2 linked regions of the Canis lupus familiaris genome follow. The protein of the gene in region 1 interacts with the protein of each later gene in a pairwise test. Links are inferred from orthologs where the notes say so. Each region holds a gene or a part of one and is shown on either strand. Other genes may lie near its edges. The genes, in order: CDCA7L and CTNNBL1.

The links.
Region 2: the proteins of CDCA7L (region 1) and CTNNBL1 interact in binary tests that used the Homo sapiens proteins (3 or more experiments, as listed by UniProt). The link is inferred for Canis lupus familiaris from reciprocal best matches to the Homo sapiens genes CDCA7L and CTNNBL1.

What each region holds. Positions count from the first base shown.
Region 1 is NC_049235.1:35,868,447-35,880,522, forward strand, and holds part of CDCA7L (cell division cycle-associated 7-like protein), read right to left. Parts: intron 11,969-12,076; coding exon 11,828-11,968; intron 6,526-11,827; coding exon 6,388-6,525; intron 2,416-6,387; coding exon 2,041-2,415; intron 489-2,040; coding exon 417-488; intron 302-416; coding exon 131-301; intron 1-130. UniProt on the Homo sapiens protein: Plays a role in transcriptional regulation as a repressor that inhibits monoamine oxidase A (MAOA) activity and gene expression by binding to the promoter.
Region 2 is NC_049245.1:26,845,828-26,857,903, forward strand, and holds part of CTNNBL1 (beta-catenin-like protein 1), read left to right. Parts: intron 1-4,741; coding exon 4,742-4,930; intron 4,931-8,673; coding exon 8,674-8,780; intron 8,781-12,076. UniProt on the Homo sapiens protein: Component of the PRP19-CDC5L complex that forms an integral part of the spliceosome and is required for activating pre-mRNA splicing.

The sequences.
Region 1 (12,076 bases):
CCCTGGGAACACGAGCACCACCAGCACCACCATCAGCAGCATCACTGCTCAGCTGCTCCAGACATACCAGGTCAGGACCTCAGTGTGGCCTTAGACAAAGCATAATATGTTCACTGTGCTCAGAAAATACCCCACTAATTGTCTTCCTCCTCCTGAAGCTGTAAAACTCTTCTGCAAATTTGGCTGCTGAGACGGTGAAGTTCTCCAGGGCAAACTTCTCGGGTGGCCGTGCGCTGCGGGTCGGGTTTGTGCGTCGCGTGATCTGTCCCTCTGAGAAGGCCCGCCTCGCTGTTCTCTTCTTCTGAAAGTCAGAGCACAGACATACGCAACTGGGTGCTTCCTGGAACAAAAGCCATCTGGCGACAGATTACGTCCAGCAGCCTCGGGATAAAGAATTATAAAGGCATTCTACTTACAGAAGCTGAGTTCGGGGTTCGTACCGGGAAGAAATCTGGCATTGAGTTCAGTTCTGCCAGTAACTGGGCGAGCTGCAGTTCAGAACAGAAGAAGGACCGACATCAATATGCCTCATTCATCTAACACCTCGTAACACGTCTTCAGTTTTGCCAACATGAGAAACTTGACTAAAGTAGTTCATGTAAGATCGCAACAGCTGTTTTATTTTTAACCTCATCTGTAAAGATTGTTATCTCCAGGGGTGAGAGGCTACTATCATCATTCATGGGAATAAAATCTATGCACGTTCCTTACATATAAAGATCGTATCATAAGATGAATGGGTCCTTGGAATGATGAGGCTGGCTGCATGAGGCTGGAATTCTGACGGGGCCATTAATTAGCAGTGTGACCCCAAAACAGATCATGGTGCACACCGAGATCAAGTTTCATCATGTTCAAAACAAAAGGTTCAACTAGATTGTTCTGATAGTTATTTAGAGCTCCAAAGAAACTGTTTATGTTGATTCATTTCTCATTAACAAAAATAATTTATGGAAATGTTCCCAAATAAACACCTAAGAATACCAACTAACAGGCATTAATACGCCAATGAAGATTTTTTTTTAAGATTTTATTTATTCATGAGAGAAAGAGAGAGAGAGAGAGAGAGAGAGAGAGGCAGAGGGAGAAGCAGGCTTCATCCAGGGGGCCCGACGTGGGACTTGATCCCGGGTCTCCGGGACCACACCCTGGGCTGAAGGCGGCGCTAAACTGCTGAGCGACCCGGGCTGCCCCAATGAGGATTCTTTTTAATTTTAGAGTTATACAGACGTGTAAGTGTCACTCAAAACTCATGAACATAGTTATTTTAAAGATGCCGACACAGTGCTAAAAATTTCCCTTTGCTAATAACCATAAATATGCCTTAGGGTGAATTTTCACTCAAAAGTGAAGCTTTTTATGTTCTTATTAGACATAGAAGAATACACACACACTATCATATTGTGCTTTTTAAAAAGAAAGTATTAAAAATCTACCAAAATGCTAACAGTGACTGAGTGGTAGAATTAATTCTGCATATGCAAAATTAGGAAGCAAATATGTTACTGAACAAATACAGAAAAACCAAATACACATGACAAAGGTTTCCCCTTTACTGCCATTCATCCTAGCAAAGATGGGTTACTGTGGCTGAAAACCACTCAGTTTAGTACCTAGGCCTCTCTCATTCTCCCGTATGACGTCCTGAAGCCCCAGCACACACTGCGGTTCTTAAGTGGCTTCTCGACTCCCTGTGTACACTTGGCTCCTCCCTGCTGGGAACCGGCCAGCGGTCCGGCTCTGCTCTCCGACACCACCACTATTTAGAACTTCTCTTCATAGCAAACGGTAAGCAGCATGAGTTCACGGCACCAGGAAGCGGAGCTAAAAGTGGTCCTGGGGAGTCGCTTTCTGATCCCGAACCAGAGCCGACCAGCTAATAACTGGTTGGGGTCCAGAACACAGAAAAGGACACCCGATGCCCAGAGCACATTTCCCGAAAGATGCGAGGGCAGCCGCTCTGGGGGCGGTTCTGTGAGCCTCAGGAGCCACTGCTCAGTGCCCGCACCCAGCGCCCGGACTGCCCGCCCACGGCCTTACCATGGCTTTGTTCTCCTTGATGTTCATGGTCCTTTTCAGCAGAGCATCCGAGCCCTCCTGAGCCTCATCCCTGGAGTCGTCCTCAGACTCTGAGACCGAATCTTCCCTTTCCTTCCCCTTTCTGCAGCTTCTCTTTCTTCCAAGAATTGCTTTTTTATTGTCCTGTAAGCGTGTGCTAGAAAACAGTGGCTCCGAGGAACTGTCATCTGACTTTTTCGTCAGTTTCTTGGTGGGGAACTGAAAGGCGACTCGAAGACCAATGCTGCTTCTCCTCGGCCTCCTCCTTCTGGGTGTAGCCTTCTCTCCTTCATCCTCTTCCTCTTCTTCACTCACCAAAGACTCCTTACCAGCATCACTCAAATCTGACTCCACGAGCTAACAAAAGGAGAGAAAAGGAGAAAGACTAGAAACAATGTTTCCTAACAGACCTTCAAAAACACCTTACTTAAAAGCACTCTGGGGGCACCTGGGTGGCTCGGTGGTTGAGCACCTGCCTTTGGCTCAGGTCGTGATCCCAGGGTCCTGGGCTCGAATCCCGCCATCAGGCTCCCCCAAAAATAATAAATCTTTTTTTTTTAAAGCACTCTGACATTATTGTAGAGAAAAAATGAGAAGAAAGCTCCTCTTTCCTATTCTGAGTTCCCACCGAACTCTTCAGTTAGGCGCTCGGGTGTCTGCGGGTGAATCCGGTCCAAGAGCCGCTGCCTCCCGCGGCCCGGTGCCCCGGCCACGACCACCGGCGGCGGCTCCTAGGAGCGCGGGCTGGACGCGGGGCGCCGACAAAGCAGGGCTCCCCCGTGGGCCGGCCACGTATTATGGGGAAGAGCCAAAGAAAAGGGAATGCATGGCCTTAGAGTTATCTTCAAATACAAATGGAGTGCTGAGGGGGAAAAAAATACTGACCATACTGCCCCGAAGAACAGGAAGAGGATTCATGGGCAGGAGGGACAGGAGGGACAGGAGAGCCGACTTCACCTCAGTGAAGTGACAGGAGAGCAAGCAGAGGACTGGCCATCGGCGTCAGTGGGGGAAACTCCTCCCAGGACATGCTGGGTCCTCACTCCCAGGGATATCCCTTCTCTTTTCTGCAACCCGCAGAGCCGCGGGGTGAAATCAAGGCCGACAGCTCTTGGGCTGTTGTGAAGCACCTGTTCAGGCAGCCCAGGAAATTCTTGCCCTGAATTTTCTAATTCTGCTTGGTACAGGTTGCTGGCACTAAAACGGAACCCAGCCTTACACGTGAGACACAGAACATAAGGCAATGGCAGGGTGGGGACATTACCCAGGTGATGAGGGGGTGACATCTCAGATGTGAGGGGACGCTTAGCAATGGCAGAGCTGGGCTTGAACATTGAGATCAAGGCCACCTCCTGCGCATCTTTCCTTTACTACATGCTGGGAAGTTTAGTCTGAGACCCTCTGTCAGGGATTCTGGACAACAGGGCTGCTCTGAGGAGAACAAGGAATAGCCCACGATGGGCCCAGGACTGAGGTAAAGGACTCAGCTGCCCCCTCCGTGAATTCGCCCCCCGAATTCTAGCTTGACTCAAGTTAAAAGTAAGGCAGAGGAGGGGCGCCCGGCTGGCTCGGTTGGTGGAGTGTGCAACTCTTAATCTCAGGGTTGTGAGTTCAAGCCCCACATTGGGCATGGAACCTACTTTAAAAGAAAAAAATTCTTTTTTATAAAATTTTATTTATTCATTCATGAGAGAGACAGAGAGAGAGGCAGATACACAGGCAGAGGGAGAAGTAGGCTCCCTGCGGGAAGCCCAATGCAAGACTTGATCCCAGGACCCCGGGATCACAACCTGAGCCATAGGCAGAGGCTCAACCACTGAGTCACCCAGGTGCCCCAAGAAAATTTATTTTTAAAAATATATTGAGGCACCTGGGTGGCTCAGTCGGTTGAGCATCTGACTCTTGATCTCAGCTCAGATCCTGATCTCAGAGCCCTAAGTTCAAACCTTCTGTTGGGCTCCACGCTGGGCTGGAGCCTACGTAAGAAAGAAAAGAAAGGAAAGGAAAGGAAAAAGGAAAGGAAAAGAAAAGGGAGAAAAACAAAACCCTTCATGTAACTACCAAACCTTGGTGTATATATAAATCCACAACAAGCTAAGTGGAGAAGACTATAGCGTTATTGATTTATCCTTTTGTTTGTTTTTTAGTATCCTGAACTTTCTACACTGGTAGCTTTGGAATGCAAAACGATGGGACTGGAGGAATCCAATTTCAGAAAGTGTTGGAGAACTTCAGAGGAATTCTCTCTCAAATTGGTTTTATTTATCTTCATCATCCCCTAACCCGTATCTCTTTCCTAAGGACTCTCTGAAGGACTACAGTAGGTGAGAGCAAATATAAAGACGGGAGGCAAAGAACTCAAGGGCCGCACCACTGCTGTGGTAGCCTCATGTGTGGCTAGACCACCAGACACCAAGTGACATCCTAGTATCAGAAAAGGCAGTCTCCTCTGCCTTCACTAGGGTGAGCAGGAGGCTGGGGAGGCAGGCAATAATGCTTATTTGTCCACTGAATTTTAAAATAAAATCTGCAGGGGATCCCTGGGTGGCCCAGTGGTTGAGCGCCCGCCTTCGGCCCCGGGCGTGATCCTGGAGACCCGGAATCGAGTCCCACGCCGGGCTCCCGGTGCATGGAGCCTGCTTCTCCCTCTGCCTGTGGCTCTGCTTCTCTATCTCTCTCTGTCTCTCATGAATAAATGAATAAAATCTTTAAAATAAATAAATAAATAAAATCTGCAGGTGGACCTGCCCAAAGATATGAGTGACAGTAGTCAGCATGTCCCAATTCATACCCTAAATATACAGAACATTAAAAAAAAAAATTCTGGAGTAGTCTTCACTGTGCTAGAAACACGGATCCTTTGAATACCCTGAGATCACTTAGCTAACAATCAGAAGATAAATAAGTCACTAGGAGTAGAAGATACCCATTAAGGATTTGGAAGGATTTTAGTGCTTTGCTGGCAAGGAAAACTGTGGAGCCCGGCTGGCAAGAACACATCAACGGCCTTACAAGCAGCTTCAGTAAAGAAAGCCAAAGGAGGGCTGGGGCCTGTAGGTTGGCAGAGCTCTGTGTTGCTATTCCCGGGGGGATCAACATCAAACAAGGCAGCCTACCATTAGGGCTTTCAGGCCTAAGCTCCCCACCCCGCCACCCTAGGAAAAGGTGAGGAACAAAGCAAACCTACTAGTTACAGCTTATTTAGATTTCCATACAAGTTCCACACCAGACGGGGTTCCTCCTTAGGAGCTTCTGAACGTGAAGAGGTTTAACCTCTATCCTTTATCCTGATATCCAAGAAGGAGATGGTGGACTGATTTGGGGGGATAAATGTGTGCTATTTTTCAGTTAGTATAAAATACTTCTATGCCTGGGGAAAACAACCCAAAGGCTGTTCTTTAAAGTTACGCGGAGATTCAAATACTAGTTGGCAGCACAGAAGCCTAAATCTATGCAGTGAAGGAAGAAATCCCCAGTCTCCCGAAAGGCAAGTGCTGAGAGCACATTTCCCTCAGGAATCTGACATGGCCAGGCCATCTTTATCATTTAAAGAGCTTTTCTTTTCTTTTCTTTTTTCTTTTTTTTTCTTTTCTTTCCTTCCTTCCTTCCTTTCTTTCCTTTCTTCCTTTTCTCTTTCTTTCTTTCTTTCTTTTTTTAAAGATTTTATTTATTTATTCATGAAAGACACACACAGAGAGAGGCAGAGACACAGGCAGAGGGAGAAGCAGGCTCCATGCAGGGAGCCCAATGTGGGACTCGATCCCGGAACTCCAGGATCACACCCTGGGCCGAAGGTGGCGCTAAACCGCTGAGCCACCTGGGCTGCCCTAAAAAGCATTTCTGCATCCAAATCAAGAACACACAGGGAAAACTCTTTGTACCACAGCTCAGTTTGGGCCAAATTAACTCCACACTTAAGAACATGACTTTGCACACAAGAAAGGACTTGTAAGAACTTGCTACTCCTAGACAGACGGTCCTCTTTTCAGATAAAAGATGTTTAAGAAAAAAAAAAAAAAAGATGTCTAAGAAAGCCTGAAATAAATTCTTTCACGAGGACAATTAAGGGACACCTGAGACATGCGCCCACCCCGGGAACTCGAAGGTACCAGGGAAAGACAAGTGGACTTCCTCTAGGAGTACGATGGACTGGGGGACCAGGGATTAGCCTAGACTAGCATTTCTCAATCTCGGTAACCGGCTTCTAAGACACACACACGTAAGAAAAAGTCATTGGTTTGGGACGTGACTCCCTCCGAGTGAAACTACAATTCAGGAGCAGGACTGAAAACAGGAGAACCCGCACTCTCCCACGTTGAGGATTATTACCATCACTTCTGGGTTACTATTTCCATTCAGCTCATTCTGTGTAAATCCTTCAAACTCTTCCATCTCTGAGTCCGTGTCCTCTATAAAAATCCTTCGCAGCTCTTCCGTGAAGTATTTGGAACGGAAACGCACATCTTGCTGCATTAAAAACACGCAAACATCATAAAGGAAGAAGACAGAGGCTTCCGGGGGGCGAGGGGGCAGGGAAGGGCTGTTGAACGGGCAGCGTCTGTTCGAGGTGGGGGAGCACCCTGGGTGACGGGGACCCCGCGCGCGAGCTCAGCGCCACCTGGCAGCTTGCCCGCAAGAGCCTGGCGCTCGCTCGCACTTACCAGAGGCTGAAACGGTCAATTGTAGGTTATGTGTATTTTACCCCAGTGCACACACGCGCGCACACACACGTTCCTCTACAGATTAGGGAAACAGAACTGAACAATCTGAGACGATCAACTGCACCACTTCCAAATGTCAGAACGGCCCAGGCTGAGCCAGCTACTTTGCTGCCTTGTGGGGGGGGGGGGGGGGGGGGAGAGTGGGCTCCATTTCTCCTGCCAGGGCCCCCGGGGAAGGTCGGGCACAGCACCGATCCCGATCCCGATCCCGAGCGAGGCTCCCTGCCGCGCGCTGGCCTGCCCTCCGCGCACCTGTCCAAGGCCGACTCCCCCGCGTCGGGAGCGCACCTGCCTGGCTCTCTGCGGGAAGGGGCCGGAGCCCGCCCCGGCCCTCCCCGGCCCCCGGGACAGCCTCTCCTGCCTCTCCTGTGGGAGGTGCGAGGCCAGCAGCCCCCACCAGGTAGCCAGTGAGCAGGAGGAAAGACGTGCCAGGACCCTTAAAAAAGAAAGACATTTTCAAAGGACTTTGTCTTTTGAACCCAGAGAAGGAAAGAAACCGGGGCTCCGTAAATGGCACTCCGGGAAGAAAGGAGGGGACAGACAGACCTGCGGTGTGGGAAGGAGACGCACAGACCAGCCTCCTCCAAGCTGGCAACCAGGGCTGGAGTCCGTGTCCCCAGTTGCCTCTGACGCCTCTTCCTCCCACACCCGATATAGCAATGACCCCCCATCACACCACATTTGGTTGGGGAATCTTTATCTCCCCCACTGCCTCTCCCTGACTTTAATTATATACTTCTTCAAGCTCAGATCATCTCTGGAGAAAAACAGATATAATAGATGAGTGGGAAAATTTACAGGGGGATAGAGGAAGAAATGCCTATATCCAGCATTTTCTTAAGCTTAAATGTCTCCTATGAATTATTATGGGTAATTGGAGTGAGTGTGCTTGGAGCTAAATTACTTTGTCCCTTTGTTGATAGCTGTGGTGCAGCTGCTTGGAAAAAAAAAATACAAACAGAAAAGAGAAGTTTCCTTAAAGTGAAATTCAAATTGTGTTTAAGGAAGACCAAAGTCAACGTTGTGGCATACTCCATACAAGTTTGTGCAGCTCCTCTTGGCTGCTTAACACGGACTGTGAATGTGTGGGGTCGGGGTGGGGAAGCAACAGGCCTGGGGTTTATTTTTGTAAGGAAGACTGGTGCACAGCTGGCTGCCGCAGAAACCCACCATGAAGCTGCTAGCTCCACCAGCAGGAAACATCTGGCTCACAGAGCCCAGAGCCGGTCTCTACAAGTGGGTTTAGAGCAATGGGGGTCTACGTGTACATTTCCTCATATACCCATTGTCCCTGCCTAGGGCCCAGAGAGAACAAGTCACCTCTTAGAGCAGCAAGTTCTAACCGTCCAGTCCTCTCTGGCTCTCTTTTCCCTTTGAAAAGCTTCACAGGGAAATAAATGGTCAGGCTGAGAGAAATCAATATCTTTGGTGACCAGATAGAACACAAAAACAACTTAGCCACAGTCCTAAACCAAGGCCCCTGCTTTTCCTCTCCTTATTCCACAAGATATAAGAACTGAGCCTGGGCGGCTCAATCAGTTAAGCGTCGGACTCCTCATGTTAGCTCAGGTCTTGATCTCAGGGTTAGGAGTTCAAGCCCCACTGCGGGCTCCACACTACATATGGAACCTCCTTGAAAAAAATGAAAAAAAAAAAGATAAGCACAAAAAACCATGCTTACTGTGAGTCTTTATAAAGCAAAGTATCTATTCCACAGTCTCATTGCAATCTTGGTTACAACACTCACATAGCTCTTTGCTCTCCAGAATTTGCTATCCTTTCAAATCAATACCAGGCAGTATGTTCTGGACCTTGATCACCTATATCTATCTACCATGATCAAGAATGTAAGACATTTTCAAAGGACTTTCTGTCTTTTGAACAGAAAAGTGGTTAAAAGAGTGGTTACACTTTTTATTTGGAAGCTCATGTGACGTGAAGGAACAGACAGGAAAATGATGGTGAGCTAAAAAGAGTGAGACAAGCATCCCACCTCAATTCCACCCCATGGGTACTCATTTACCAGTGGGAGCTGAGCATATGGAACATGGGGAAAGGAAAACACGAGTAAGCAGTCCAGCCCAAGAATGCTAGAAAGCATTGTTCAAGTATGAGGCGCCTCCCATTGAGGAGGTAACAGGTTAGCGGGGCAGTGGGACAGGTCCACAGTAACCACAGTCAGGATCTTCGTTCTAAGGGAGATGCAAGCAAGATGGCATATGGAAAGAAGGAAAGAGGGGATCCCTGGGTGGCTCAGTGGTTTAGTGCCTGCCTTCGGCCTGGGGCGTGATCCTGGAGTCCCGGGATCGAGTCCCACATCGGGCTGCCTGCATGGGGCCTACTTCTCCTTCTGCCTGTGTCTCTGCCTCTCTCTCTCAGTCTGTGTTTCTCATGAATAGATAAATAAAACCTTTAAAAAAAAAAAAAAAAAAAAGGAAAGGGAAGGAAAGAAAAGGAAAGAAAAGAAAATTCAGGAAAACTTCCAAGGAGCAGCAGCATTTGAACTGGATCCAAGCCGGGGTGGACTCTAGAAGAAACGAAGAGAAGACAGATAAGCAGAACAAAGAGCACAGACCAGCATATACACGGGCAAAACCAGTGCATGAGGAGGGTGTCCGTGAGGCTTCTGGTCCACCACGCTACAGGGGAGTTGAAGAAAAGAAGAGGCTGAAAAGCGATGCTCCCAGATTTCAAACATCCCGGCCACACGCTTCTCAGATGTGGGGGCTGAGACAAGTCCCTTCGCTGCTGCCCTGAGCCTGTGTCATCCCCTGTGAAACAGGGACAGTAACAACACCGACCCTGTCCCTGGGGAGGTGCCTGAACTCAGGGCGAGCTGAATGAAAAGCACACGGTCACAGGCCATCCGAGGCACGCTGCATCACACCTGGCAGTGGGGAGCAGGAAGGGGGGGGCTTGAATGCACAGAAGTAGCAGGGGTCAGAGCAGCAAAAGCAGCTGCTTTGGTTTTAAGTTTTTGTTTTTTTAAGATTTTATTTATTTATTCATGAGAGACACAGAGAGAGAGGCAGAGACACAGAGGGAGAAGCAGGCTCCATGCAGAAAGCCCGATGCAGAACTCGATCCCGGGTCTCCAGGATCACACCCTGGGCTGAAGGTGGCGCTAAACCGCTGAGCCACCCGGCCTGCCCATTTACAAGGTTTTTTGTTTTTTGTTTTTTTTTTTTTTTGAGCACAGGTGACACACAGTGTTACATTAGTTTAAGGTGTACAACACAGTGATTCACCTTCTTGATAGTGTGCTCACCAGTGTAGCTACCATCTGTCACCACACAACTCTGTTACAGTATCATCAACTACATTCCCTATGCTGTGCCTTCCAACACCCCCCGCCCCCCACAGTGACATACTTCCTGTGTAACTGGAAGCCTAGACCTCCCACTCACCTTCACACACTTCACCCGTCTCCCCACACCTCACCCATCTCTCCAACTCCTCCCTGCTAGCAACCATCAGTCTATTCTCTGTATTTATAGGTCTGATTCGGCTTTTTATCTATTTTATTTTTTAGATTCCACGTGAGTGAGATCATATGGTATTTGTCTTTCTCAGACTTACTTCACTTAGCTTAACACCCTCTAGGTCCTTCCATGTTGCGGCAAATGGCAAAAACCTCATCCTTTTCATGGCTGCATTAATATTCCACTGAACACATATTTAGCATCTTCCTTATCCATTCTTCTATTGATGGACACTTAGGCTGCTTCCCTATCTAATCATCAGGAAAACGCCCATCAAAACCACAATGAGGTATCCCCTCACACCTGTCAGAATGGCTAAAATAAAAGACAACAAACAAGTGTTGGTGAGGATGTGGAGAGAAAGGAAGCCTCACATACCACTGGTGTAAACGCACACTGGTACAGCCACTGTGGAAAACAGTAGTAGGGAGGATCCTCAAAAAATTAAAAATAGAACTACCTTACGATCCAGTAATTTCACTAGCGAGTATTTACGCAAAGAAAACCAGAACACTAATTTGACACTTACGTTTATTCCAGCATTGTTTACAACAGCCAAGATATGGAAGCTGTTTTGTTTCTGGATGCCCACTGCACTGCTGGGCTCCAGGCTCAGCTCTTCACACACATGCTGCGCTGCTCAGAATGCCCCTCACGGCGGGTCCACGGGCTCTACTCTCCCTCACTGCCTGACCATGCTCAAATGGTTTCTGAGTAAGGCAAAGCTCACGGCCAGACCTTAGTGCTGTAACTAAGGTAAGGGCCATGAGCATCAGGGGAGCTGCAGGAGGAGGCTGGAACACACAGGCAGCCAAGTGATCAAGCAGGCACTTACACTGTATCATAAAGTGCTTCTAGAACCTCCTACACTTGCCCAGTTGAAGCAAGGTGGGTTTAATTTACAGCCTCTTGAGAGAGGCTACGGTCCAGGGAGAATGAAGAATTTTGAGAGCCACAATGAATGCAGAAGAAAATGCTACAGAAAGCTAGCTATTTCGACTGGCCATACCACTGCTAAGGCATAATATAAACCTCCAGGAAACTAACTCTCAGAGAAACGTAATTTGTGTTTGCCAGAGATCAAAGTAATCCAAGAAAGAATAAGGCTCTCCCCGGCAATTCCAAGAGTAGGGTGTCAATGGAAACCCGCTATAGGAGCACAGGGACACGACTGTCTCGTGGTAACCACACGTTCCTGCACGGCACTGCGGTGTGGACGGTGGCTGTGCAGGACCACCTCTCCCCTCCCAGCCACATGGGAGCACTCTGAATACAGCCTGGACACAGGCTGCAAGCCCTGAGGTTACAAAGGAAATAGATCTGATCATGTGAGGCCCTCTTTATTAAAAAAAAAAAAAAAAAACTATTATAGAAAGGGCTTAAACAGTAAAAGTGATCTAGGTAGCCTCATTGGTTCTTAAAACATGAAGCAAAACACTTATAAAATAAAATGCTCGACAATTAACTGCTATCACCAATCTCAGACCATATTCAAATAAAAGAATATCTGAACCAAGATCCAGGCTTCCAGAAGACCGTGCCTTCCATGAAAGGAAGCATCTGTACCTGTTTCCCTGATTCCAGTGAGTCAAAACTATCACAGCTCTCCTCTGATGAGAGGGTTTCCATGGGAACATCATCTCGGAAACCGACAAACTCTTCATCATCACTGGGGGCGTTAAAGATGTCAGCCACTTCTTTAGGGATCTGTTTTGGATTCAAAAAAGAAGAAGGATAAGACCGAGGGCTGTTATAATCACTTAGGGAAATTTTCTAGAAAGGAGGAGGGATTAGCATCTACTAGCTCTATCAATC
Region 2 (12,076 bases), on another chromosome or scaffold:
TACTTATTTAATTTTTTAACTCTTTCCAAGCTTTTGTGGTGATGTCTTGATATCTGTTTCCAGGGGGATGTATATATATATATCATCCATCACACATACACACATAATAGGCTTCAAGATTTTTGGAAAGTAAAAGCATCTTATATATAATCTTGAAGCTTACTATAAGCTTTGAACAAGTGGAAATCTTTTATGTAACCTAGAAAGGCTACCAACTGTGTGGTTGGACGGTGGCAAATGCTTAGTGAGCATTTATATTGCTCACTACCTATTGGGAGTAAGGCAGGGAACGTAGAAGATTTTTTAAATCCTTAAAGGCTGATGTTCTGGAACATCAGAAGTTAAGAGTTAATCATTTTTTCTCTAGTCTGTGGGCAGCAGAGACAAAGAAATGACTTTATGAGGAACAGTTTCTTTTGTCATTCCTTCATCTTGAGGGATTCCAAACACCTTTCAGATACCAAAACAAATTAATCTCCAAAAGTGACTGGTAAGAATGGCTTAATCCTCATGGGATTGGTTTTGTAAGATACAAGGAGAGCTCATGTGTGAGCTGTTGACCTCTCTGACAGGCTAAGAGTGTTATATTCCTTTCCTGAATCCAGAGCTCTTTGGCTCTTCTATAGTGGAATTGGTTTGACAGCTCTGAGATTCTTCTCCATTTATGTATTCTTGCTTTGTTTTGTGTAACTGATCACTCTCTCAGTAGCAAATATTGGTAAATATAATGTAGACATTTATTTATTTCCAGGTGAGGATATTGTTAGCTTCATGATTTTTTTTTTGTGGGGACCTTTCACAAACAGTACTTAAGCTTTCTTAGTCCATATTTTATACAATGTTGTTGGAAAGACGGTTCCATTTTGCTTTATCAGGGAACAGGAAGTCCTCAGATGAAAATCCTCTAGACCTGTGGTAGCCAATATGATAGCCGCTAGCAGTATATGGCTGTTGGGACATGAAATGGGGCTGAGTCTGGGTTGAGATACACTCTGAATGTAAAGTAGTCTACCAAACTCTAGAAGCTTGAGTATGAAAAAAAATGTAAAATATCACATTAGTAATTCTAAAATATTGATTACATCTTAAAATGATAATATTTTAAATATATTAGATTAAAACAACATTAAAATTAATTTCACCTGCTTTTTACTTTTTAAAATGTGGCCCCTAAGAAATTTAAAATTACATCTATGATTTCCATTTCATTTTGATTGGGTAACTATGTCCTAGACCATTAAGCCCCTTGATAGGAAAGTAGCATTTGTCTTATTCACATTTATGTCCCCAGTCACCAGCATAGGCCTTATACTTAGTTGGCATTTAGTAAATATTTGTCAAAGAAATGAATCCTAACCTTTATCCTTCAGAGTGGTCAGATTCAGAAATGAGTAGAAACTTCTTTGGGAGTGTTAGTATCTAAAAAAGAGACAACCCTTATTGAAAAGAACAACAATTCTTAAAATCCTGCCTTGGGAGAAAAGAATTGCTGAAACAAAATATCTCGGGGCCTTTAAACAGCTTACCTATCTGTTGGAGGCAGGAGCTGATAATGTTGCTGAAGCAACCATGGCAGAGGACCCTAGTGGCTTTGGCTCTGCTCTGCTGGAGAGTTGTTATGAGAGGAACTCCAGCTGAATGCCCTGTGTAACAGAGAAGGGAGGTGTAGAAAACAGTTTGTGAACCAGAGTTTCCCCTCTTAGGGATGTTGTGCTCAGACTATTCCTAAAGATTAACAAAGGTGTTCTTTTCTCAAGAATCCATCCTGGCCCTATCTGTGCCCGTGTCACCATTTAGACAAGACCCAAATGGAAGCCTGGGACTACCGTGGGCCACCTTATTACCTGAAGACCCTTCAAGCCTTACATTTCTTTAATATATTATTTGTTGAACTAATGGTTTAACAACTATCATTTTAACTTTACTGAGGTCTTACATGACTTATATTTATGGGTATAGGTTCTTGACTGAAAGTCCCTTGAACCTGTCTCAGTGAGGGTCCTGGAATTAAGACCTGGATTAGCAAACTTCCGAGAGTTCGGGTTCACCTTTGAGAATGGACAAGACTGTCTTTGCAAGAGTTTATTAAAGGATCTCAGGCATCCCGCCTCCCTGCTTAGAAAATAAAACTGTTAACCTACTTTTCTTCCCCAGAGGTGTGGTGAAGATTAAGAGAGGTGCTTTAAGTTCTGCAGAAGGAAAGTGCATTTTCAGTGGAAATTATTAGAGGTAAAAGTGAAACTCCTCCCCTAGCTCTAAAAGGTTTGTTTTTTAATAGTAGTTTGGAAGACGTAAGATTGGAAGATGTATTCCAAAGAGACACTGACAATGTTCTTTCAGTTTTGCATTTCTTAAGTGTGGCGGTATTTAGCTTTCTCCTTTTAATTGTGGTCCACTGGCTTTTCTGTCTGCCCTCAGAGATAAACAATCCAGAAATCTCCTTTCCGTGGAGAACTGTGGAACTCATGCTTTGATTTGACTGCTGCAGCAGGCTCAACGCTAATCAGAATCGCAGCAGGGCTCATTTTATGAGCCTGAAAGAATTAGTGCTCCCAGGGGGCTAAAGTTCTTACCTGCTGGGGAGCTACAGATTTCTGGTTTGAAGCCTGCCCTCCTTTAGGATCAAGCTACCTTTCCTTCCTTTCTTGCATGAACACCACAACCTCCTTTTTCTTGTGGTCCATGGTAACTGGCATGTTGATTTCTTTCTTCTTTTTCTCCTGTTTTTCTAAGTGCAGACCAGTGATGATGACAATAGATTCTTCTAATTTTTGTATTTATGCAAGTAGAGTGTTATCATAGGAAATTGTAATCTATCTTATGGAGGCTAGGAGCAGAGTGAAAAATAGCAGGTGGTAGCCTACAAACCAAATTGTCTAATGTGAGTTTTCTAAGCAATGTCATATGCTTAGACTTATTGGCGCACCTGGTATGTGGAACCAGCAGGGTATGTGAATATAGAGAGGAGTGAGGAGTGACTTTGCACCACTGGAATAGTGGAACTCAGTAGCATTATGGGTTATAAGTCAAAAGGTGAGATATGTAATGTGTATAGTAGAAATTTGTCTCTTATTACCATGAAACAACTTAGCAGGCTGGCAGCAAATGTGGCATTCTCTTCTGTTGGTCTTAATAAACCATATCGCACCTAGCACACTATTTGTGTGTGTGGTTATCATAATATAAAAAGAAAAGCTCATTGAGCCTAGCACAAATGTGTTGAGGGAGACAGAATCATGTGGATTACCTTATAGTAATAATCTTTTATATTTGTTTGGTACTGTAATCATTTAGCATTCTTTTTTTATAAATATTTTATTTATTTATTAGAGAGAGAGGGAGAGAGTGCTTGCACATGCACCAGCAGAGGGAGGGCCAGAGGAAGAGAGAGAAGCAGACTCCCATTGAACAGGAAGCCTGATGTGGAGGCTCAATCCCAAGACCCTGGGATCATGCCCTGAGCTGAAGGCAAGACGCCTAACTTACTGAGCCACCCAGGCACCTCTTTTTTATTTAGCGTTCTTTCACTCAAGTTTGCAACCTTTTAGTACAAACTTCCAGTTATGGATAAGTTCTGGTTCTGGGAATCCATCAGATAGCAGAGTGACTATAGTTAACAAGTGTATTGTATACTTGAAAGTTGCTAAGGGAGTAGATCTTAAATGTTCTCATCACAAAAAAAAAAAAAAAAAGTAATTATGAGAGGTGATGGAAGTGTTAACTAACTTATGTGTAATCATTTTGCAATATATACATGAATCAAATACATTGTTATATGTACACAGTGACATATGTACACAGCATTATATGTCAATTATATCTCAGTAAGGCTGGAAAAAGAATGGTAAATATACACACACAGAGAAGCATCCTTTGAAGTTCACAAGGAAAAGGGTTATAATTTCCATTTGCTATTTGCAGATGAGGAAACAAAGGTTTAGAGAGGTTAATGACATGCCCAGAGCTGTACCAGTAGTAATTTGAGCTGTTTGAGCCCTGGTGCAGTGCTGTTTCTCCTTAGCTCTGAAGGCCATTTCGGTAGTGCCCCCATTTTATTCCAATTTAACAGAAGGGCACTGTTAAGAACTCCTCCATGGACTGCAGTGTCAAAGGCAGACTGAGGACCTAACAGTGGGGCAGACAGAGCTCTGGACCAGAAGTCGGGAAGTGTCAATTGTGTTTTCAGTTCTGCTGCTGGTTTTGCATCTTTGGGTAATACTACCTCTGGGCCTTCTTCTACCCTGCTCTTCTGTAAAGTAGGACTTCGGAGTGCAGTAGCCCCTTGGATGTTGCATGTGTAATCTTCTCCATGAGAACTTGTGAGTGACTGTAGTCTTTTCTTAGACATGAATTACAACCGTGTGCAGAGGGATTAGTGTTGGGGATTGTGTCATAACTAGTAAATTGAGCCGAATGTGTCTCAGAGTGGCTGTGTTCCCTGTGATTTCTATATGTACAGTAACTTTTGTGAAGTGGTAAAACTACGCATATTTTTTAAATTCTGTAAAAAAAAAAAAAAAAAGCCAACAACCTTGTAGGTGACATCAGTCCTGTATTTATAAAATTGCTACAGGTCTGAAAAAATGACCGCTTGGAACTTGGCTTCATTTTGTGAGAGAAACCATTTTGTATGGAGTTTTTCATCAGTGAATTCTTGAAAGCTTTTAGAATGGCTGCTATGTATGCCCTTCTAGATCTTTTCCAGCTCTGGAATCCTATGTTTCTTTTTTCTCTTTCTCAGCCCAACAGGGGCACAAAACGTCCCCGGGATGATGAAGAGGAAGAGCTGAAAATGCGTCGGAGACAAGCTGGTCCCAGAGACCGTGGCCGCTATCGGGAAGAGGAAATGACGGTGGTAGAAGAAGCAGATGATGACAAAAAGAGACTGCTTCAGATTATTGACAGAGAGGGCGAGGAGGAAGAGGAAGAGGTAAGGTGGCAGACGAGGCTGGCCGTGACACCATATCTGTAGAGGGTCATTTTATGCCAAATGCTTTCCCTGAGCTTTTCACCTTAATCTGTGAAATAGGGTTAAGAATACTTACTGCACAGTATTAACATGAAGGTGAAATGCAATAATAAAGTCAGGAAGCATTTTCAAAGTGTAAAGATCATTATAGATAGAGTTTTTAAATTATTCTGGATTATGTGTCATAATCGAGGCCTGAGCACTGAACTGTGAGGCTGTTGCTATTGACTGAGCAGGGTCAGAAGGATTCTTAGACTAGACACATTGAAGGCATGTCCATTTTTTAGTATAGTTAGTAATCTTTAAAAGAGGAGTAGAATTTTATCAAACTAGTGGAAGAAGGTTTTTCAGTTGAGATGTCATTAGCAAGGCCACAAAGGTGGAGAAGTTCAAAGGTGGAGCTAAGAGATTAGCTTTTTAGGTGTAATTGAAAAATACAGTTTAGGAAAAGAAGTGCTATGTGCTGTTCCTCAAGGTGCCTTAAGGCATACTCGTTCCTACTGCTGAACCTTTTTACTTCTGTACCCTTCGTGGAATGCTCTTCCCCTAATGCTTTGCAAGACAGCTTTCTTCTGAACTGAGAAATCCAGGTCTCAGTTCAGATGTCTCCTCCTCAGAGACAGAGAAGCCTTTCCTATCTCTGAGGTAGCCCTGTAAATCATTCTCTCTTTCTCTTATCACTTCGATCAGTATATTGTCTTCACAGCACTTACAATGATCTGAGATCCTGGTTTATTTATTTTACTCATTTGCTATTCTCTCCCTGACCTCTTAGGAAAAAGGGACTGGCTCTGTTTTGTTCACAGCTGTATCTCTAACACTCGGTGCAATGCCTGACTCTTGGTAGGCCCTTAATAAATATTTATTGAATGAATAAATGAACGAAGCTAAAAAGAGTAGAGGTAAAATACCAGTGATTAAAAATAAAATGACCTTACCTAAGTGTCTTTTTATATCCTTAAGTATTAACTTGTATGTTATTTCACTCTGGCATTTTGTTCAATATGAATTATGGAAATAGATTCTTAAGAGCCAGCTGTTTTTTGGTTCCCTGAAAGACATGATGCTAAGTTTGGATTTAAAAAATGAAGCTGGAGTGTGAATCTGAGAAGGGAAAAAAATGGATTCATATTCCAAAAAGGTCTTTACTATATTGTGACAATAACTCTCTCCTCATTAGGATCCCCAAATTAGCAGTGCTAATTTGGGGATCTGCCCCTAAAAGATGGTGGTGCTTTGGAAATCTGTGGTGGGAGACAGTCCTGAATTTCCTCTCTAAGGGCAGCAGCCCTGCTAGGCTTAGACAAACAGTGTGTGTAGCATATCCTCCCTCCTTCCTTCCCTGTTCCCTGCCTCCCCCACCCCCCCCAATAGCTTCTGCTCAATCTGTTAGCCCTGCAGCAGCAGTTAATTGGCAGGTATAATTCCCATGTAGGGCAAGGCTGGTACTGGAGGATTAGGATAGTAGCTGTCATGGGTAAGTGGTTTCTAGCCTAGGAGACAGAAATGTAGTGTGGGACCAGGCCTTCTGTTAGGGGACAAGGGAAAAAGAGATCGCTTTGTAAAAATGACACATGGAAGACTACAAGTCTAGGAGTTATTTTCTCACTGCCACCAAGGTCCCGTTTGATGAAAAACAAGTGATGTTTGCCCCCGTAAAGTCACGTGGACTTGTAAAATATTATTGTCCTTTTTGTGCTACATCACCAGCATTCATCTTTCTGAAATCTCCCTCTGGTTTCTGACGTTGAGCTATTGGAGATACTGCTGTGGTCGATGACTAAGACTGATAATTCAGTTTTACTCCAGCATTGGAGGGAAATTAAAGGAGGGAAGGCCAAACCCTGAGAGGCCAAGATTTGGGGCATCCTGTGAGAGCTGTATCAACGCTAATATGTTTTTTTTTCTACAGGGTGGGCAAAATGTTAGGGAAGGACAAGAAGTGGAGATTGGGGTTACTTGAAAATGATTTAACCCTTCCTAAAAATTTCAATTACTTAGTGAAATCCTCGTAGTACATTGGGTACATTGTGCCTGTTGATAGTAGCAACAATAAGGGTTTAGGTTAATATAGCATCCTCTAGTTTGTAAAAACAGTTTAATGTACCTCATCTCTTTAGGTCATCTCCCTGACCTTGAAAGAGACAGGTATATTTTTGCCCTCCCTCTCTTCCTACCTGCCTTCCTTCCTCCATTACATCTTCACTGGGCACTTGCTGTGTGCCAGGCACTGTGATGGGCACTGGAGAGTCAATAGTGAATAAGTGGACATGGGATGTTTACTCTGGTTTGGGGTTGGAGAGATTGTCTGGGCCAGATCCTGCCAGACTTTTCCATATCTGGGTCATGAGAAGGATTTAGAATTTTATTCTGAATGCCAAGTGGATGAATTCAAGAAAGACTCCTAAGGTCAGTTGGACTTGGTGACAGCTTGAGGATTATATTCAGCAAAGTAACATTGCCACATGGCTAGTAAGTAGTGAAGCTCCACTCTGAGTCCTGACTGACCCAGGGCACTGAGTTTAGTTTGTAAAGATTCTCTTTAAGCTGTAGATACTGGGGATGGGGTGGGAGTCCAATAGAGGCCCTCAGTGGCCAGGGGTCATTGATAAAATCTAAGAAATCTGTCATGCCCAAAACGAATTTATAGATAACTCCTACTTAAAACCCAATATATTGACACTGAAATTTAATAAAGTAATAGCTAACACTTTGGAGTACTTAACATGTTAGGGATGGTTCATTGCTTTCCAAAAGGATCTGTTTCTGGTTCTCTTAATAGCAAGGTTTTTTAAAAAAAAAATTTTATTACTTTTAGGTGTGAGTTGTGGTCAGTGGTCACAAAAGCTGTGATGCCAGGAGTTGAGCGTTGGAGAGGCAGAGAGTGTTGTAGCATGTGACTTTAACCTCAAAAAGAAACAGAAGAGAAGACGTTCCTGAAATTTTAGTGTAGATTTTTTTTTTTGGGGGGGAGATGATTCTGTTTTTAAAAATTCATTTTATTTACCTTTGTAGTTATTATTCCAGTGTTTGAAATAAGAAAACTGTATGGTCTCCTAGTTTTTATGCCTCTCCTGAGTGTGGTTACTAAATTCTTGATGCTATATCAGGCCTACAAGTACCTCTCTGATTTCCTTCTCAGCAGCTAATAAGGACCCGAAACAGTGATGTGTAAGAAACTCAAGCAGTGACTGTTGCTAATTAACAATCTTTCTTATGGTATGGGCTGTACAAAAATAAGCCATGCATTGGATTTGGCCTATGGTCAGGAGTTTGCTGATCCTTGGCATGCAGAAAATATTGAGGTCCACTGTCACTGACTCAGGTGTTGACCTTGAACAAGTTCTTTTAAACTTGGATATTATCTCTACAACAAGGAGAAAGATGGGTAAATAGTAAATAATCCTTATCTAATATTGTTGCTTAGTACATGCTATCCAGTATGCTCAAGAAATATTTGTTGAATGAGCTAATCTTTAAAACCTTAAATGGAGCTTCCTGAGTTAGTTGTGAGACAGTGATATAACATAGCATGTGGTCTAGATCCTTAACCTTATTTCTAGTGGGAAGATAAAGTATGTACTGTATATTTAACCCAGAAAGGTAAGTGGCAAATGGCTAAAAGCCATGGAAAAGAAGTAGTGATTAGTGAATAAGAAATCCCTTTGAACTAAAATTGTTGCTGTTTGTTCCCTTTATACCAGGAGGAACCACTAGATGAGAGCTCAGTGAAGAAAATGATCCTTACATTTGAAAAAAGATCATACAAAAACCAAGAGTTGCGGATCAAGTTTCCAGACAATCCAGAAAAGTAAGGCTCTGTCTTGCTAATACCCTCTTTCCTTCTATGCGTTGTTTGTTGTTTTTGTTTTGTTTTTCGTTTGTTTTGCCTGCGTTGGTTTTTGTGCTTTATGTCAGGAGTCCCACAATGACCCACGTGTTAGGGAAATCACTGGAAAGACTCATAGAGCTCAGAGTCATGGTACTCGGGGCCACACAACAGGATCAGGAAGAGAGAAAGGTCAGACAGTCTGGAGAAATTCATGTTTAGGCTCCCTATCTTTTCTCTGACTGGGTTACATGCAGACATGTTCCTTTCTCCCAACAGTGAAATGCATCAACATGTGTGCAGTGTTTCTGTCCAGGGAAGCACATTTGAGACCTAAGAGTCCAGGATATATTTATTGAGGACAAGTTATATAGGCCTTCTCTGTCAGCAATGACTATCAAAATTCTGCACTCCCAGAAGGAAAGCAGATGTTAAGTGCTGCTCCAGTTGGGCAAAACACCTTTACCACTTAGGGGACCTTTCAAAAGCCAAGTACCAGACTAGAACTAGACTCTTCTAAAGGTCAAGTCTGCTATGTTAACTCTTTTCTGCGTTATTCTTCTCAAGGTGCAGAGAAAACTCACCATGCCTGTCATTAATGATAGATTTTCTGTTGAGAAAATGTCAAGGGCTTTTCGGTTTGACAGATATGGGTGTGACTCCCATGTGACCTTGAATAAGTCACTTTTCCTTTCTTAGCCTCAGATGTCTCATTTGTACAAAGAAATAATACCGCCTACACAGGGTTGTTGTGAAGATTCGGTGAGCATGATGGCATTTATTTAGCTCGGTGGCTGGCTGGCACACAATAAGTGCTCATGAAATGATAATCTATGTGCTTGCTGCCTCCACCAGCACCTCTGTGTCCTGTGAGATGCTGTTGTGAAGAATCTGGTATTTTTCAGTTCATCTTGACAGGACTGACATGGGAAGATCACCCGTCATGTGGGTGTGGAATATGTACAGTATGATTTAGATAGGGGGAAAAATGAATTCTAACTAAAGGGATTTTCATATTTATACAGATTTTAATGTTGTAAATCTCTCTTCCTTCCCTGTCTTTCTGCCTCCCAGGACATACACTTTTAATGAATCTTAATAGGCCCAAGGCCCCTAGGCAATTAAGAGTTGAATAGTACAGTCTTTGTACTCCAGTTTATAGGTTACTAGGGAGACTGACTATAAATGCAGGGTAGAAGGAAATATACTTTAAAAAAGATACAAGCAGAGCACTGTGGGAGCATAGGGAAAGAAACCATGAATACCAGGTTGGGGGCTATTGAGGGCTTCATGGAAGAGGTGGTATTTGAACTGGGCCTTGAAGAATGATTTTTATTTTAATAGGCAGAAAAGAACATGGGAAAGCCTGTCAGGCAGTGTGATTAGCATGAACAAAGGCACAGAGGTATCAGAGAATATAGAGTCCTCACGGCAACCTAGTGAGGCTAATGTGATTCATTATGTCCTCTCTGTGTTGTAGATGAGGAGGTATGGAGAGAGGAGAACCTGGTTACTGGACCCACCCAGGCCACAGTCCTCTTTAACAGGAGGAGTAGCTCAGTCAGAGCTCAGCCTTCCCAACGCCAGAGTCCTATCAGTTTTGATAGGACTGATCAGTCCTAACCTCTACCAGATAATAGCACTTGTCATACTGCACTGTGTCTGTGTCTATGGATGTGTGTGTGTGTGTGTGTGTGTGTGTGTTTTGATTATACAAATAAGACACAAATAGACTGTCATTATAAAAAACAACAGTGCAAAAGTGAAGGAAAAAATGAAAGTTCTCTTTCATTGCACAGACCCCCTTTCCATTCCACTACCTGGAGATAGTCTCTGTGAGTATTCTTTTAGATTATTTTCTATACATATATTTATATATGTAATTTTTCCCCCTACCTAAATCATACTGTACCTATTCTGAACCTTTTTTTTTTAAGATTTTATTTATTTGACAGAGAGCAAGCTGCGTGGGGCAGAGGGGGAGAAGAGGGAAGGGCAGAGGGAGACAGAAGCAGACTCCCTGCCAAGCAGGGAGCCTGACATGGAGCTCCATCCAATTACCCTGGGATCATAACCTGAGCCACAGGCAGACGTGGAACTGACTGAGCCATCCAGGCGCCCCATATTCTGAACCTTGATGATTTTACTTACATAACAGAAGATCTTTCCATGCATGTTTACCTTATTTTTTGTGACTGGTATGGAGTGTTTCATGATGTGGAGATACCATGATTTTTTTTACTATTTTTCAAATTTGATTATTTTAAATATTGACTTTTATGAACAATGCTCCAGTGAACCTCCATGTACATTTGTCTTAATGCACATTATTTCTATGGGATAGATACCTAAGTGTTGAATTCTCCAGTTGAAGAGGATGTGTTTTATTTATGTATGTATGTACGTATGTATGTATGTATGTATTTTTTGAAGGGGATGTATTTTAAACTTTGATAGCTACTGCCAAATTCCCTACTGTGGCAGGTCTCTTTCCCTAAAATCTTGCTCACAGTGAATGTAATCAGTCTTTAACATCTTTGTCATTTGTTTTAGTGTTATTTCTTTACTCAGTTTTCCTTCATTATACTCTTTGTATCTTTTAGGAGATAGACTGTGTCTTATTTGTCTCTGTTTATAGTACCTAGCATAGTACCTGCCATACTGTAGGTGCTCAGTAAACACGAGAGATCTTCTATAGTTGAGGTCATCCTTATTACATTCCCATTGCTTAGAACCTGAGGATACATTATGAGGAAGCTATGCTGTAGGTTGCTAACCCTAGAAATTTAAGAACCACGGTACTTTTTGGAAAGCCAATATTGCCTTTGTCTGTATTCTGCCAGTTTATTTTTTATTTTATTTATTTTTTATTTATTCATTTATGAGAGACACACAGAGAGAGAGAGGCAGAGACACAGGCAGAGGGAGAAGCAGGCTCCATGCGGGGAGCTCCATGCGGGACTCGATCCCGGGACTCCAGGATCACGCCCTGGTCTGAAGGCGGCGCTAAACCGCTGAGCCACCCAGGCATCATCAGTAGGCTGCCCTACTTCTGCCAGTTTAGAGCAGTGAGTTTCTCTGGGTTATATTCACCATCTACATCTTAGGTACCACAGATGCTCCAGTGTCACAATTTGTTTCTTTATTTTATAGATTTTACTTATTTATTTGAGAGAGAGAGAGAGAATGGGAAGGAAAGCCCAGAGGGAGAGTGAGAGGGAGAAGCAGACTCCCTGCTGTGCAGAGCCTGATGCAGGGCTTGATCCCAGGACCCTGAG